Coturnix japonica: one gene and its partners. The protein of the gene in region 2 purifies or fractionates together with the protein of the main gene of each other region. This does not show direct contact. Links are inferred from orthologs where the notes say so. Each region holds a gene or a part of one and is shown on either strand. Other genes may lie near its edges. The genes, in order: ERLIN2, TMEM259 and SRPRB.

What was found.
Region 1: the proteins of TMEM259 (region 2) and ERLIN2 purify together in Homo sapiens (affinity purification with mass spectrometry; 3 studies listed by BioGRID and IntAct, with this or other methods). This does not show direct contact. The link is inferred for Coturnix japonica from reciprocal best matches to the Homo sapiens genes TMEM259 and ERLIN2.
Region 3: the proteins of TMEM259 (region 2) and SRPRB purify together in Homo sapiens (affinity purification with mass spectrometry; 3 studies listed by BioGRID and IntAct, counting the BioPlex papers as one, with this or other methods). This does not show direct contact. The link is inferred for Coturnix japonica from reciprocal best matches to the Homo sapiens genes TMEM259 and SRPRB.

Annotation. Positions count from the first base shown.
Region 1 is NC_029537.1:3,559,511-3,564,629, reverse strand, and holds part of ERLIN2 (erlin-2), read right to left. Parts: coding exon 5,113-5,119; intron 4,776-5,112; coding exon 4,686-4,775; intron 3,211-4,685; coding exon 3,131-3,210; intron 2,231-3,130; coding exon 2,021-2,230; 3' UTR 1-2,020. UniProt on the Homo sapiens protein: Component of the ERLIN1/ERLIN2 complex which mediates the endoplasmic reticulum-associated degradation (ERAD) of inositol 1,4,5-trisphosphate receptors (IP3Rs) such as ITPR1.
Region 2 is NC_029543.1:1,972,361-1,977,479, forward strand, and holds part of TMEM259 (membralin), read right to left. Parts: intron 4,454-5,119; coding exon 4,187-4,453; intron 3,897-4,186; coding exon 3,728-3,896; intron 2,621-3,727; coding exon 2,510-2,620; intron 1,636-2,509; coding exon 1,513-1,635; intron 1,174-1,512; coding exon 1,073-1,173; intron 552-1,072; coding exon 494-551; intron 375-493; coding exon 291-374; intron 1-290. UniProt on the Homo sapiens protein: May have a role in the ERAD pathway required for clearance of misfolded proteins in the endoplasmic reticulum (ER). Promotes survival of motor neurons, probably by protecting against ER stress.
Region 3 is NC_029524.1:3,487,174-3,492,867, forward strand, and holds the end of SRPRB (signal recognition particle receptor subunit beta), read right to left. Parts: intron 4,718-5,694; coding exon 4,663-4,717; intron 3,452-4,662; coding exon 3,235-3,451; 3' UTR 1,371-3,234; downstream 1-1,370. Other genes in the region: SLCO2A1 (solute carrier organic anion transporter family member 2A1), read left to right, coding at 23-87, 229-349, 453-573. UniProt on the Homo sapiens protein: Component of the signal recognition particle (SRP) complex receptor (SR). Ensures, in conjunction with the SRP complex, the correct targeting of the nascent secretory proteins to the endoplasmic reticulum membrane system.

The DNA of each region.
Region 1 (5,119 bases), on a different chromosome or scaffold from region 2:
AATGCTAAAGCAAATGAGATCACCCTGAAAGGTTTAGATACTGTGACCTCACTCCTGCATTTCTGCTGGTCTTTGTTCAACATCTTCTTGCACAGACACATTTAGAGTAAGCAATATTACAGCCTACCCCCCAATGTGGTCTTTATGACCACTGTGTTGTCAGTCTGGGGATGGAACTTTCCTTAGCTTAAGATTTTCCAACAAATATAAAGATGACATCAAGGAGATGGGATTTTTCTCCATCAGAAACTGACAATCTCTTTTATTCTGTGTTTTCAAGTATCAGCTGTAATTCTTCTGACAGGGAAAATAAAACTGAAATGAAAAATACTGGAACAAGCAGCAGAAATTAATGAGATTTCTTAGTGTAAATTACTTCTTTAAAATGATTAATGCATCTTTAAAACACTGAAATGTGAAACCAAGCTTAGTAAAGCAGCAAGCATTTGGGGTATAAGATCGTAAATTCAACAGGTTGGTCCTGACCAACGTAGTGCTTATGCTTTCATCATCTTATAAGGGATGCATTGGCTGCAAATTATAACAGCAATTAATAAGCAGGCTCTCCTGCCAAGTGGCAGATGGATTTGGGGGAGAGGGAAAAGAAATTCTCTAGCCTTGAACTTTTGCCTTTAATACCCCCTCAAGTTTTGCACGTGTAAAACAAGAGACCTATTACCAATTTGCATCTGAGCAATGAAAAATGAATCCATTGTCTGAAATGAAAGGTACATCACATCTCACTGTTCTGACCAAAGAAGGAATGTTTCTCTTTGAACAGCCCAGAGAGAAGAGGTGGTCATATCTGCCCTGTGATTTTCTCCCCCCCAAGATGGTGCTTTGAGTCTTTTGCTCTCAGGAGATCTCAAGGTCTGTTGCAGATAAAACCACCCAGGTACAATGTTCCATTCATTTCAGCTTCTCTGAATATCCTCTTCCTAATATAATACTGCAAACACTGAAATCCCATTGGTCTTGCAGAACAGCAGAAGTACTGCAGTGACTGTGGGATGAATCACTCAAGCAGTTGCTCACTAGCAAGGCTTTTTGCAAGGGTCCCTGAGACAAAAACTGCATTCTCTCTACTTCTTTTCTGTCTATGACATCTGCAACAAGTACCATGCTTGCAGCCTGGTTGCACCAGTCCAAATAGCCACTGGCAGGCACTGCCTCCACCAGCACATCTAAGCCCCTCAGCCAGCAGATGAACACAAACTCTCCTCTGCCCTCCTCAAGTATAACAAATGGAAAAGAAACCAGTGTTAAAAATGCAAAAAAATGAGTAGTTTGGGCCACTACCTGTGTGACACGCAGTCTAAGGCTTACAACTCCCCCAGGGTAACAGCTGAAGTGCTGTACCTCACTGTGCATGCGGTCTCAACTGCACTACTGAGGCAAAACACGTTTGCTCAGACCTCAGTAAATGCTGGTTTCATGTATTTGCTACACCTTGAAGGGAGGATGGGCCTGGGGTTACCCACGGGCTGTTAGTCCCAGTGCTCCCAGGCAATGACCCATCATCTGAGCAATGCCTTCAAGCAGACATGGGTAGTGTACAAAAAGTCTAGCACCTTTTATGTTTTCTTCTCAAAGGGATTTGAATTAAGTACTAGAAATTTCCAGCTAGGAAAAAAAAAAGGTCATAGCAGCAATCCCCCCCTCCTGCCAAAATCTCAAAGCTTCCAACTGCTACCAACAACCTCAGCTCAAAACTCATTAACCATCTAAGCTGGCTGCAGAACAGATAGCCTAGCTAGCTTAGCCTCTCTGGAATCACTGGGTTTATAGCCCACTAGAAGGGAGAGGTGCATCTAGCAGACATATCTGGAGCAGATTACTTAGCAGTTACCAGAAACAACATTCCATAAATACCAAAGTTCACTGTGTCTAATTGTCATACAAAAGATTGAGAGGATTAAATTTTTCTTTTATCTCTTTCAGTACAGGAAAAGGGAACAACAAAAAGGAACTTCCCAGTTCGTGTTTCTTTTGATATAAAACAAATATAAATGTTTCTTTTTCAGTTGGTTTTATGAAGCACTTTTGTGTCTTCACTGGGTCCTGCCCCATCTTCTTCATGGATTCCTTCTGCAAGTCCCTCTGCAAATTTACTCTGGCTACCTGCATAGTCCATGAACATGTTGGGAATATCTTTGCCAAAATAGATCTTGCTGTTTGCTGCAATAGCCTTGTATTTCATCAGCTGCAAATACTCGGGAGTTAACTTCAGCTGCACGAAAAGAAAACAGATCACCAACAGCTCAGACAAAAGCAAATTCCTACCATAAGCACAGGAGGCATCTACCTTCCCAGAACACTAGTGGGTATGCTCATCCTCTCTCCAGAAAAGATGGAGTACCTCAAAGAATGCTCTCTTTCAGTCTAAGCAAAGCTAAGTCCAGGTGACTGAATGGTAAAATAAGGAAGTAATGGAAGTAGGTGGGGAAACGTTCAGTCCAAACATACCACAGAGATGGAGATGCTCTGAACTCTAACTGGAACAGAACTTGTACACAACCATCTCAGACCCTCTGTCCATTTCTACTGACCCTTACAACACAGGAATTCTTCCTGCTGGCATGTCCTGCGATCCTGATGTAGACAGTAACAAGTTGCATCCATGTGATTTCTGTCCCTAGGGTTCTGTTTTTTTGCAGGAACAAGGCTTTGCCAGGGTAATTACTTTGGTGAACAGAAACAACTTTATTTGTTCTGTACCTGAACACTTGTTTACTTTAAGCCTGTCTGTCACTCAGCAGATCTCCTTGCCTTGGTTACTTGCTAGCTTGCAGACTGAAATGGATCAACATGTCTCATTACAGCAGCATGAAAGGGCAACACTGAAAGTGATATTCTTTCTACAGTGGGAGTCATGGCCCCATTAGCATCCAGCAGATCTGTCTCCAGACATAAACCAGATATTTCACGTACCCTGACACAAATTCATCTGTTCAGAGCAGAAGGTGAATTTGCAAGTAAGGATATAATTATTGTTTCAGTCTCAAAGATAACTTCTCTGTCTTTGTTTGGCTTTTTGACCGAAACAAGACAGAACTCAGCTCTCCTGCTGAGTTCTATACAGAGTAATGTAAAGAGCTCTGCTACAAGGCACAGCATAAGGAAGTAATACCTTGTTAGCCTCGGCTATTTTCATAGCAGTATAGCATTCAGCATCAGCTCTTGCCTTCTCTCTTGCAAGAAACGCAGCATCTGGAAGAAAACAAATGCTCCCATATTCAGATTTTCATTTCCAGTCACGTCAGCACCATTTACAGCTGGAAGATTTTTAAAGCAGCAAGTACCACATCTAAACTGTAAGGGATACAACGAGGCGAAGAGGGAACAAAACTGGGAACCCAGAAATGGGATCTGCCTTTATCATCCTGTTGCATTTTAGATGTAATACTAAATACATTGTATCTGCAACTGAAGACCTCAAAGCATTTTATAAACATAAGGTTTTTATTACTGTCCTGTCACACAGGCAGAGAATGCTCTTTCTTCTCTAGCCAGCCACTAATTCTTGTGCTGCAAACGAAACAACCGTTGGGCTGCAAAAGTGATATTTACCCACAACATTTGCACAGGACTCCAAGAACTGCACAGCAGTCTGTTCTGCAGATGAAGTGCGTAGCTGTTAATGCAATTCCCCAGATGGGATTCTGTCTGGGATACTGAGGTTAAAGCTCTGGCACGCAGGGGCAGGCAGCTTTAACCTTTATAGGCTCTGCCCCATGGACAGATGTTGGCAGAGCTGTTCTGCTGCAGTATGAGCGTCTGTGTCAAGGGCCTGATCCCAAAGGACACTGAACTTTCCTGCTCCTAACAACGACATTTAAGGAAAGAAACATTTCCCTTTTCTGTACTGCATTCCTCTTTTTGGCTTCTGACTTTTTATCTGTCAGATGACACCGACGTGATGCCAAGCCATCATGTTAAGGCTAAGATGAATTTCATCTGGCTGGTTTGATGTGATCTGTTGAGATTCTTTCTCTAAAAGGAACCCACACATTTGTAATATATGCTAGTTTGGATTGCACAGCTGGATAACCCTGTTTGTTTACCTACATTAGTGGGGAGCCCTGTGAGCCACGACATTTAAAAACAGGAGGGCTTTCATAAGACTTCCTCTTTAGACTACTATAATAGTCAGGGACACTAAAAAGAACGAAGACCTGAATCCTCCACAGTCACAGAGCTGAGCTGAAGGCCTGACACACATTTATAAGAAATAAAACCTATTGTGCTTCCACAAATAACTTCATAATGAGAAGTTACTGATCTGTAAAACTCTTAATTGGCTCCTCAGTGGACCTCTGCAAAGGCTGACAGGACCTACAATGAATGGAAGCGAAAATAAGGCTTCACTACTCTGAGCTGGAAATGCAGACCTCTTCACGTCCTGGAATTTGCTTGGTAAAGCATTGTATTGGATGAGATGTCTTCTTAATTTAACAGTACAGCCTCCTAGAGAGATCACCCTTGCAAAAAAGCTTTAAGAAGCACAGTCTGTAAAGAAACATTCCTGTTCCCACCTCTGGTTAAGTCTATTTGCTAAAGAAAATTTTGCTAAAGGGCAAAAAAGCAAAATGCAGACTAAACAGAACCAGGAACAACTTAGATCTAAAGATTCTTCAGATTAAGTCACTGCAGAACATTCTCTTATTGGAAAGTCTTTCACTCACCTTCAATCTCTGAAATCCGTTTCTCTGTTTCTTTTTCCATCACTTTCTGTCCATAAGTTATTTCAGCAACTTGTGCAATTTTTTCTGCCTCTGAAATTAAAAGAGAACACATCCACATTGTTACACCACAGTCTTCCTGTTGCCAAAAGCAACTGCACCCATGGAAGTCCTTCCCACCCTCTCCTGGTGGCAGTCACTGGCAACAACTTTCAGCCTTCAGAACGTATCAGCCCACATTTATGGGCTAAGCTGAAACCTACTTGAGCTTCTCTGGAAGAGTATCAGATCAGCAGCAAAAAGATGCAGCAGAGAAATGGTCCAACAGTGAACCAGGCGCATAAATCCCTTTATTCCCAGCTTGGTTCCTGTTTGCTGCCTACCCCACCATACACCAATATCTACTGCCTTCAAACAAAGCCATACAGACCAATGAG
Region 2 (5,119 bases):
GTTTAGGTTGTTTCTTTAAATCCCAAATTACGCTATCGAAATGTGACTACACAAAGCATGAATCTGAAATGAACAAAGCTTCAGTTTATGTGATTCTCAAATCAACTGCTATTCTAGGGGACTCGGATTGACAATGCTGCTCACTGTGCCATCAAATCCCAGAGCCTTCCACCTTGTGAAGGGCAGACACATCAACCATCTGCTGTGACCAGGTCAGAGAAGGGAATTATACCTCCTACAGATCCCAAAGGGACTTGCAGCACAAATACAAGAGGTGAGCATGTCCTTACCTACTAGAGCCAGAATAACAGTGAGCAGGGGAGCTGCAGGGAATGCAATTGTCATGTTCATTTCCAGCATCTGTAATAGGTCAACTGCAAGAAGGAAAACAGTGTAATGCAAAGAGAACACCAGGCCAAGGAACCCTCCAACCCCTACATCAGTCCACATTCAGAGCACTGTGATGCCCCCAAATGACACAGAAAATACCTACCAATGAAGACAAAGATCTGATGGTGTGAGTAGCGTAAGAGCATCGAAACAGACAGAGTCTGAAACAGGAGAACAGAAGCCGCTGTCAGAAACACAACACAGCAGAGGCTCAGGCAGGCAAGCTCGGACTCGTAATGTTCTGTGCATTTCCCATGTTTGTTAGTTTGAGCTACATGGGCCAATTTCTCTAAGAGTAATTAGGATTTCACAAACAGCAATTAATCTTCATATCACTGCTATAAGTAAGGAATTTGTTTGCAAAGAGGCTGATTCTGAATATTTGAGCAGAGGCCAAACCAAACAGCAGCAGAGCTGGAATGGAGGTTTCTTCCTATTGTGCATCTGTGCTCCTCCCAATAGCTCAAAATGCTTCACTGAGAAAAGTCACATTTCTTCTCTCACTGGCCACAATATGCTCTTTGCTTTTAGAACTCGAAATACCCACACTTGGAGGGGGGAAAGAAGAGCAGAACTCCATCAGCTTAGCTTTAAAGCAGCTGTGACCTCAGGCCTCTAACAGCAAACCTTGCCCGTGTGTTGGGCTCAGAGTTCATGGAATGCCCAGCTCCTCCCAACTTACAAATATAACCATGATGACAAAGGCTGCCAGGTAAGATGTCCTGGCCATCCACATGCTGACAAAGCGATAGTGCTCCCCAGACACCACATTGCGAAGGAAACCTGGGAACAAAGAAAGGGAAAAAGAAAGCACACAATTCCCATGTAAGTAACTCAGAACAAGAGCAAACTTCCAGTGCCCTCTGAAAAAACAGGTTGTAATGTCTGAGATCTATGCCAGCACTGCATCACAGCTGCACTCTTATTGTTATGCAGCGCAATAAGGCCATAGGAAATCACGTCTGCAGATGTCTCTTCTCTCCTGTTTCATTTTGTCCCCAGCAATAACAGCCCTACATAACACAGCGAGCTGCTCCCTGCGTTAGAGATTAATCAAAGTCAGAAGATGACATTCATGCATCTGCGGAAAAGCAGCACTCACTAAAGAGCTCCAACTCTTACCTTTGTTTTCTTCATTTTCAGCTAAGGCTTTGACACTTGACATCAGGATGTCATCATAACCCAGGAACTCATCAAGCAACAGACGACTGAACCTGTCCCCAAAGCACTGATCCCTGGTAGGATCTAAAACAGAAGAGCAGAGTAGTTATACCTTTATCCTTTTTAAATGTGAGCACAGTCTTCCCATCATTTAAAGCAGACTTGCAACTACGCTCAAACCTTTGGCAGTGTAACTGAACTGGGCAGGACTGCGAAGCAAAATGTCACACCCTGACAAATATAGCCACGCTGGTAAAATGCTGATGCCAGTCAGGCTTCAAGAATTCCATCTGGGCTGTTATACTCCCCACTGCCATACATACACAGGGGATTCATCTCCTGGGCTTGGACTGCGGCCCCAGTAACAAAGGGCTTTCCCTCTAGTAACAGCTCTCAGAATGAGTCTGTGTGCAGCTCAGAGGCTGGTAGAGATGTTTCTGCAGCCAGCTGGACTCTGCATGGTGCTGCTGGGGCCCAGAACCTCACCCACCCTCCAACAGCTCTGGGCACTCATGAAGCATGTATATGTATTCTGCTGGACACTGATCAGCTTGTAAAAATACCCCAGATCCAAGTAAAACATGAAGCCCAGAAACAATCTTTCAGTAAGTTACTCATGCAGGAACTTCTCTAGGTGAATTGGAAAGCCCAGGTCAGTAAACAGGCATTTAATATTGGCTCTTTCTCCAGTGAGAAAGCTATGCTAGACGCAACGTGAAGGCTCAGGTAACAGAATAGGCTCCAGCATTTCAGAGCACTCCTCTTGAAAAGGGTGTGACCTGCTAAAGCAATAACTGCTCCATAAAGCTCTCCTGCATGGAAAATGAGCGCCATCAACTGTTATAAACAGTTCCCACAAGACTAAAGAGATGGGATAAGTGTGAAGTTTGGAAGGGAGCTGCCAGCACGCAGGTATCTCTGCAAACACATCTCTGGCAGGGCTGGGTCCCTCACTCACCCAAAGTCACCACCATCACAGGGATGCTGAGGCGCTGCCGCGTGCTCTGGGACAGGCGCAGGAACCCATACTCCAAGGAATACTCCACAATGTACTCCTCCTGTGGCCACACTGCAAGAGAAGGTGGGAAGGGAGACTCAACAGGCAGTCAGCAAGAAGAAAACAGGCTCTGGTGTTTGTTTTGCTTTTAGTTTTTCACTACGAAATGGATTTAAGCTCAAATGCAAATAAGGCGTTGGATGTATCAATGCATGAATCACTTCATTTGTACCAGAGATCATTTTATCACAGTAACACACCCTGTCTAAGAGTTCAGCTTGGTGTACTTACAGCACAGAAGAGCTGGATTAAAAGAAAACATGAGATTTTCTAACTACATTAAGAAGGGGCACAGTTCTCTCTCCTACCACATTGCTGGATCATTCCCTGTTTGGTGTTCTGCAAATCAAGGCACAGTCTGTCAGCACACACAACATTGTACAACATGACTGTCTTATAGAGCTTAAGCAATTGTTAATTAAGGTATTGCACCAAAGATATTTAAACATCGCCCAGTCTTAAGAGACTTAATGATCTCAAATACAGGATTAATGAGTTGTGGATCTGCATCAAGCAAAACTCTGCAAGACCAAAGAAACAGTGCTGTTGTGATGTCCAGGCTCACAATCCTCAATGTAATCAGCTCAAGTCATGATGAAACAAGGATAGAACAGGACAATATTTCGAATGAGGCAGACTATTAACACAATCTTGCAATCTACTCCAACTTGCTTGGTGGCTTTCAGGATTAGTTTGCTATTCCAGGCACTGGTGTTGACTCAGGGGACCCAAAATACTGTTAATACAGTGAGGAATGTGAGCTGTGAGTTGGATCCCTGCGGGTCTCAAGAGGATATTAAATGCAGAACTGCTCAGAAAAAGGAGGTTTACATTCATCTTACATACCTGGCACTGGCTGCTGCAGAAACATGATGCCAGACCAGAAACCTCCAGCAAATTTTATAGCCCAGATGCACCCACCCAAATCCCAGCCTCCCTCCAACAGAAGGAAACACAGTGCTGTAAATCTGGTATCAGGAGTGACAAGATTCACCACAGGTTCAAGCAACAGGGATAACCAAGGGACAATGCCAAGTGCAGGCCCAGGGAAGCCAGGAGAAGTGCAGGGAAGATGCAGGGAAAGGAAAGAGCATAGATAGGGATGTAAGTTGTCTTTACCTGCTCTGGCTAGCATCTCAAACTCGGACACAGTCTCCCGCAGAGGCTGCATACCTTTAGTGGCTGCTTCACTAAATGAGAACTCCTGGCTTTCGTTGTGGGCCAGCGCCTCGGTGCTGCTCATCCGGGATGGCTTGAGGAACACCTTGGGCTCTATATCCAGCTCAAACTGTTGGGGAACAGTGGCAGAGGAGGTCAGGTTAGAAGCCAGGTCAGTTCCAGGCTCCTGTGCTCCCTCTGTGCCCTGGGCCGCCAACAGGAGGATATAAACAAGGCTGTTTGCTCAGGCTTTAACTTCTACCTTAAGATGTTGGAAGAAATGCAGGAAAAACTGAGGGAACACACACAGATTCTGAGTGACTGAGCGCACACGGAGGGACCACAGCACACTCACAGCATATGCACCAGCCCAAACCCACTCTCCCCTCCCCTCGTGCACGCAAGGAAACACATTTTTACCTTGATAGAGCTGTTTTCAAACATATCCACTGTCATTTCTTCTTCTTCCTCCTCCTCCTCCTCAGCCGTGGGCTCAACTACCATTCCTGGGAACTTCTCAGCACCACAGAACTGCAGGAAGATGGGGGCCCGGCTGGAGTTGCGCTGGATTTCCACCCTCAGGATGCCATCACGCGGCCATTTGTCCCTCACATGCTCCAAACAGTTGATGGGTGAACGGGAGAAGGCGATGTGAATGTACGCCAGGATGAAGAGCACAAAGAGAGCCTACAAACAGCAAGAAACAAAGCAGAGATTGTCAGCCCAACCAAACATTGCCCGTCGATAGGCTGCCCAGTTTCAGCCATCCCTTCTTCATGCAGATACTACAGCTGCAGGTGGATGAGAGCCTTTAAGCTTTCTAACCCTAACTGTATTTGCATCAAACAGCAGAACAGCCCCCAAATCAACTTTTCTTCCAGCTCCAGTGCTTATATAACACTCCCTTTGTACTTTGTCCTTCTGACACCTCGCTAACCTGCTGAAACCTCGTCTTTCTGAGGTTAAACACTAAGAGCCCTAAAGCTTTTCCTGGGAATGAGAGCTCCCAAAGTGCCTTTGACCAAAACTCCTCCATTAACACACCGTGCTGGGGCTGAGTGCAGCTGGCTGCCACCCAGGAGGCACACTGCCATGTTAATACATACACTGCCTAGGGTCAAAGAAGTGCTGACTTGCACAAAACCACGTGCAAAGTGCCTCCTGCCTTGCCTCTGTGTGCATAAGGGCACAGCATTTCCTTCCAAGCTCCAGCAGCATTCAGCACAGCTACAGAGCAGGTCAACTGCCACTCAGTCCCTACTGAATTCTCCCTCATTTCAAAGCATTGCCTGGAAGAAAACTGCCAATCCACAGATGGGTTTTTGTCAACTGATCCGCTGCCAACACAACCCA
Region 3 (5,694 bases), on a different chromosome or scaffold from region 2:
TCACCTGGCTTCTCCTTTGCAGGGTGGTGAACCAGGATGAGAAGTCATTTGCCATTGGCGTCCAGTTCTTGCTGATGAGGTTGCTGGGTGAGTGACTGCCTTGGGGCTTGGGGGGTGACGGGGTATTCTGAGCCTTGCTACAGCCACAGGAGGCATTGGGACCTCCTTGGAGGCAGCAGGTGAAGCACAAGGAAGGCAGAGAGCCTGACACTATTCTCTTCTCCAAAGCCTGGCTGCCAGCTCCAGCCATGTTTGGTGCCCTCATCGACTCCTCCTGCATTTACTGGCAGAAACAGTGCTCACAGCGTCGCTTCTGCGTCTACTACAACAATGACTTCCTTCGCAACAGGTACCTGTCCTCAGCTGTGGCACCTGGAGCTGCCATGGGAACAGTCCCCAAAGCCTCTGGGGCTGCCTCTGGATAGAGCATCTCCCCCCTCTTCTCTTTACAGATACCTGGGGCTGCAGGTGGGATACAAAGTGGTGGGCACCATCCTCCTTGCGCTCATTGGCTGGAAGGTGAAGAGGAGCAAGGAGTACAATGTGCAGGAGAAGGCGGCCGGCCTGGTGTAACTGCACAGAGAATGACTGCACTTCATTTGCCCACCACCAGCACTTTGACTTCTGGGGAATTTGGTTGATTTCTTGTTCTTTTGTAATGGAGCAACTTCAATATAGCAGCTCCTCCATCCTCTCGTGACAACCTGGACTGGGGAGAGGACATCTCTGTGCTCCCAACAAAGGACAATCCCCACTGGTCCCATCTTTGGATGCAGACTTGGACACAGCAGGGACCAGCTCCTCCAGATGGGTCATCCAAGACTCACCCGTTGCTTTGCAGGAAGCAGGAGGCAGATGGGGGCTGTGTTCCAGTTGGACACATACACAGATGCAAGCAACAGTCCTGCTCACCAGTGCATTCCAGGCAGGATAAGAGCAGGACTTGCTGCCAAGTTCTGGGGGCTTCCCTGTTTGCCCCAGCCCATCCCTTTGCACAGGTCAGCATGGACATGAAAAGTCGTCTCTTGTGGTTTAGTACAGAACATTTTGGAATGGGTTTTACTGTTGTGTTTTTTTAATAAAGGTCAATTTTCCATGTGGTGTGTCGGTCACCTCCATCCTGTAGGCAGGTAAGGGGCTTCTGCCACAGTGATGAGATGGAGCTGAGTTGGAGGAGCAGAGCTGGGGCTGGAGGAGAGTGAACTGGGTCTGGGTGATGAAGTTGAGATGGAGAGAGGGAAGGAAGCTGCAGCAAGATAGGGTGGAGAGGAATGGAACCATGCAGGGGATGCTCAGCCTGAGCAGTGTAGACCCTGACACCGCTAAGAAGAGTCAAGGCAAAGGTCAAGAGAGAATGAGCAAACCAGGACTTGAGAAGAAACTTTTAGTCAAATGCTTTATTACAGAAATAACTTAAAACCAAACAGGGTCTCATGCTACTTTATTCCACCTGACAGCGGTGTACAACTCTGATTTCGAAGGAGGTAGGTCTTAGCAAACAGAACTACCACTCAAGCAAACAGCAATATTCTGCAGCAAAGGGAGTTCAAGCACAACAAACACACTTCAGCAATGCTTTGGCTGCAGCAAATATCAAAATGTAACACAGTCCCTAAATATAACCCCTCCTATTCTCCTATGTGGGACAGCACAGCTCCCAGCTTATCTTTAGAGCTTCACTGTGAGCACAGGTCTTTGCTGAAGCCTGTTTGTGTTCCCCCCATCACTACTAACATGTAGCAGTACAACAGGGAGTCAGATGATGCCCAGAAAGGAGCATAACAGATCAGATGAGCCATTAAGCAAGCACTAAACCAGAGAGAAACCCACAAAGGACAGAAAAGGTGCATGAGAAGCCTAAGTTTGCTCCTTGCTTAGAACTACACAAAACCCAATAAAACTAGATGCAGTAGGACCTTGTAGTTCCCAGCATCGAATCCTGGAGAGTAATCCTCCTCACAGAGATGTTGTGTAGAGCCAGCATCCCACAGCACAGCACATAGCTGCTGGGCAGGGCAACTGACAAGTGTCTTAAGGCTGTAGTTCAGAAAGGACAAACTGAAACAGTCTCACAGATGCTGCTGCAATTTCTCCCTCAACACAACCAATGTTCCTGGCTACAGCAAAGAAAAGGGAAAGCAAAGGAACTTTTGGAAAGTTCAGGTCTAAGGCATACTGAATCAGACCCAACTACTGTCTCAACAAGCTTCAAAGCAGCCCAGCTGAGCCTCCCCAAGAGCTACAGCAACAGGCAGCAGTCCCTGATGAGATCACACACAGCAGCAGCTTTGCCTTCAACCACCACAAATACTGGGAAAAGCTCTCATGTTCTTCTCCAATAAGCATCTTCCTTGTAAGGAAGAATCACGCTCACACCAACGTGCTATCAAGCTCACCTTTCTCTTCATTTTGCTGCAACTGCTATGATGAATAACACAAAAAGGGCTCCTAATGGTAGACACTGGATAGGAGACGGGCAGGAAAAAGAACAGCAAGGGTCTGTCATGACAGATCTAACTCCTAACATACATATGAATCCAAAAATATGCCACTTCCATTGGTTCAAGCTAGGACCATTCTGTAAGTGCCATTCACTTGTTTACAGTCTGTTGGAGAAGAGCCTGAAGTACAGAAAGAATAGAGCGAAACAAGCTTTCAAGGCACAGCCCTGACAGAAAGAAAAACTCCCAAGAGCTGTCCAGCAAAAGGAGTCAACCAGAGACATGGGCACCACAGCCAGACACAGGCACTGCACAGTGACAAGGGCAGATCAACCAGCTTGCCTTTGAAATTTAACAAGCCACTCCAGTTCCACAAAAACTGGACTACACCTCCATGAAGAAACAGCGATGCAATGCTAATACAAAGCAGAAAAGGACAGACTACAGTTTCTAGACTCACCTGGCAGTGTATTCCTTCCTAAGTTGATTGGCAGCTGGATGATGAAAATACAAAAGATTTCAAGGAAACACAGAAGCCTATTGGGTCAGCAACGCAGGAAAAAAAGCAGAGGAGAGAGGGGAAAAAAGGTGGTGGTGTGACAGAGACAGAGAGGAAATCACACCAGTAAATGTTATATGCTCCCAAACAGAGGAAGACAATGCAATGCTTTTCCAGCATTCACTTTCTGCTTTGGTAAGATCCGAGTACTTCAAACCATCTATTTTCTTTCACTCCCCTGATGGGCCCCCCACGTGTCCTCAGGTCTCTCCCTCTCACCCTGCCCTTCTCTGATCAGGCGATCTTGGCCAGCCATTTCTCAAGGTCCTCAAAGTCAGCATCTCCCTCCTCTCCCTTGCTGCCACGAGCACTGCACTCCACAAACTCCACCTTCATGGGCAGCTGAGAGAAGTCGAAGTCCTTGCCCTTCTTTCCCAGCTGAGCAGGTCCCCCAGTGGCTGAGGCATCCAAACTGGTGGGGGCTGCAGAGCGGGTCACTCGTAAGGTGTTACTGCAGAAAGAGAAAGGAGAAGATCAGGAACTCAAATAGCAAAATGACACCTACATCATAAGCACTGAGATGCTTTGGTTTCAGCTGTCAGCAGGACATCAGCAACCCCAGGGACAGAAGGCCCCAGAGGCATACCCATATCCCTAACCCACGAGGCACAGGCAGGGACAGGCACTTTGCCTACTTGTAAACAGCTGCTACAAGGCACAACTGAGAGAGATTCAAGAGAAAGACAGATCGTGGGTTTGGTGAGAGAAGCAGAACTTCTGAAGAGACAAAGGCACCTTTCCATTGGTAGGGAATGAACCCAGACTGTGAGAGCTGCTTGTCTGACTACAGCTAAAAAGATGTTTAGCCCACAGTGCTCAAATCTGCACTGTTTTGACAGGTTACCTGGGAAAAGAGGCACCCAGGACATCAGGGATCATGCAGATCTTCACCCCATAGCCACCTTAACGTGCCAAATACTTCTGGAGACTGAGAGGTGGATCGAGCCTCCCCAGTGCTCCAGTGAGCAGTGCCTGGCCAAGGACCCCAGGCTGCAGCACTGCTGCTGTTTCTGCCCTTCATCTTGTGGCAGCATCTCAGCAACCCGCCACCCATATGAAGGGAGGAAAAACCTCACTGCTCACACTCAGGCATCCTGCTCCCACAAAGTATAAACTAGAGGCAGCACTGAAACAAACAGCAGCATGAAAAGGGCATTGAGGCACTGCAGTTTGACTGCTTCTAGTGTCCCAAAAACCAAGCTAGGGAAGTCAAGTTGCATCAGGCACGGATGCAAACAGCAACTTCTACCATGGAATTTGCCTTGCAGAAGGGAAGGTCAGGTACTCAGCAGTGAAAAGCAACAGTACAAATCACCCTGCTGCCACCCACTGGTCAATTTGGCTAGTGACAACCGCATCCCAGGAACACTCATTTGGATGCCAAAGAGTTACAAATGAACCACGGGGCACTGATTCTCCACATTACAGCTTTAAGGAAGCAATACACCACCCATCTTCTTTTTTGTCAAGCCAGGAACATTACTAGATCTTAGTGCTTTAGCAAGGACATTCTTCCCTCATCCTGATTACACCTACACAAAACAGACTTCTCCTTTTATTCATTGAGCACAGAAGTACTTAAAGGACTCACTAAACATGGGCAGGAGACAAAGGAGAAGACAGAAGAAGCCCAGAGGATTTAAGATCCAATTTCACACTTACAGCTCTTTCTCCAGCTGCTGTTGAATGAGTTTTGCAGACTTTGCCATTGTGACATCTAGAGAGAAAACAGAAAAGGAAATAATTAGCTCTTTGGTATTATGTCCAGATTAGCTTCCTACTCCGAAAGGTACAGCAAGGCTTGATCATATCATGCTGTCATAAGACGTAATGAGACAACAGCAATGGTGTAAGTGTTTGGATAAGGTACAGAAGAGCTTTAGATCTGTGGGCATGAATGAGAGCAACCCCAGAACCCAATTCAAGGCAGGGGATTAGTTTCTTCTCACAGTCTGGAAACAGGGCACTAAATCACTTCAAACAAGGCCCAGCATGCTCACCTGTCCTGGCATTACAGAGCTCACCACAATGCCTTCTAGAACTTGAAGGCTCCAAGATGCTCCTATGATACTGCAAGAAAAAACTAGAAAACCAAACCTGGCACTGGTAGAAAGTTTCAAATTGTCCTACAAGGATCCACACCTCTGCAGGAAAAGCTGTACGGATTGACCACTTAAGCCTGTCTAACGATCTCTAGCTCTTCAAGTGGTGCTTTTCTCCTAAGCTATTTGACGTATCTGACCTACGAATTCTTCCAAAGGCTGCTAGAAATGTTCTTGCTGAGTAGTCCAAGTCTACAACTAAATTTCTGTCTTCATTTTGCTGAAGCCCTGAAATTCTGAAGCCCTAAGAAATTCACCGTGTGTGGTGTAACACTATAATGTGATAAAAAACAAAGCAATGACAGCAGGGTAGCAAAGTCCCAGGCTTCAGCAAGTGAAGATAAGCCCCAGTGCAGCAGCCATAGACACAGAAACAAAGGAAAAAAAAGCTGCTTATCTGCAGGCCTCAGGTAGGCAGGGAGCTCCTCTCCAGCAAGATACCCCCTCCTCTCCACTGCCAACCCTTAAATGAGGTCTGGGAAGGGGTGCATCCTGGATCCACCCCTTGCAGCCACTCAGGTACACTGCATGCACCTGAGCTGCCCTGGGTTGGCCCTGCCTTCCATCAAGTGCTCAATCACTGCTTCAGGCC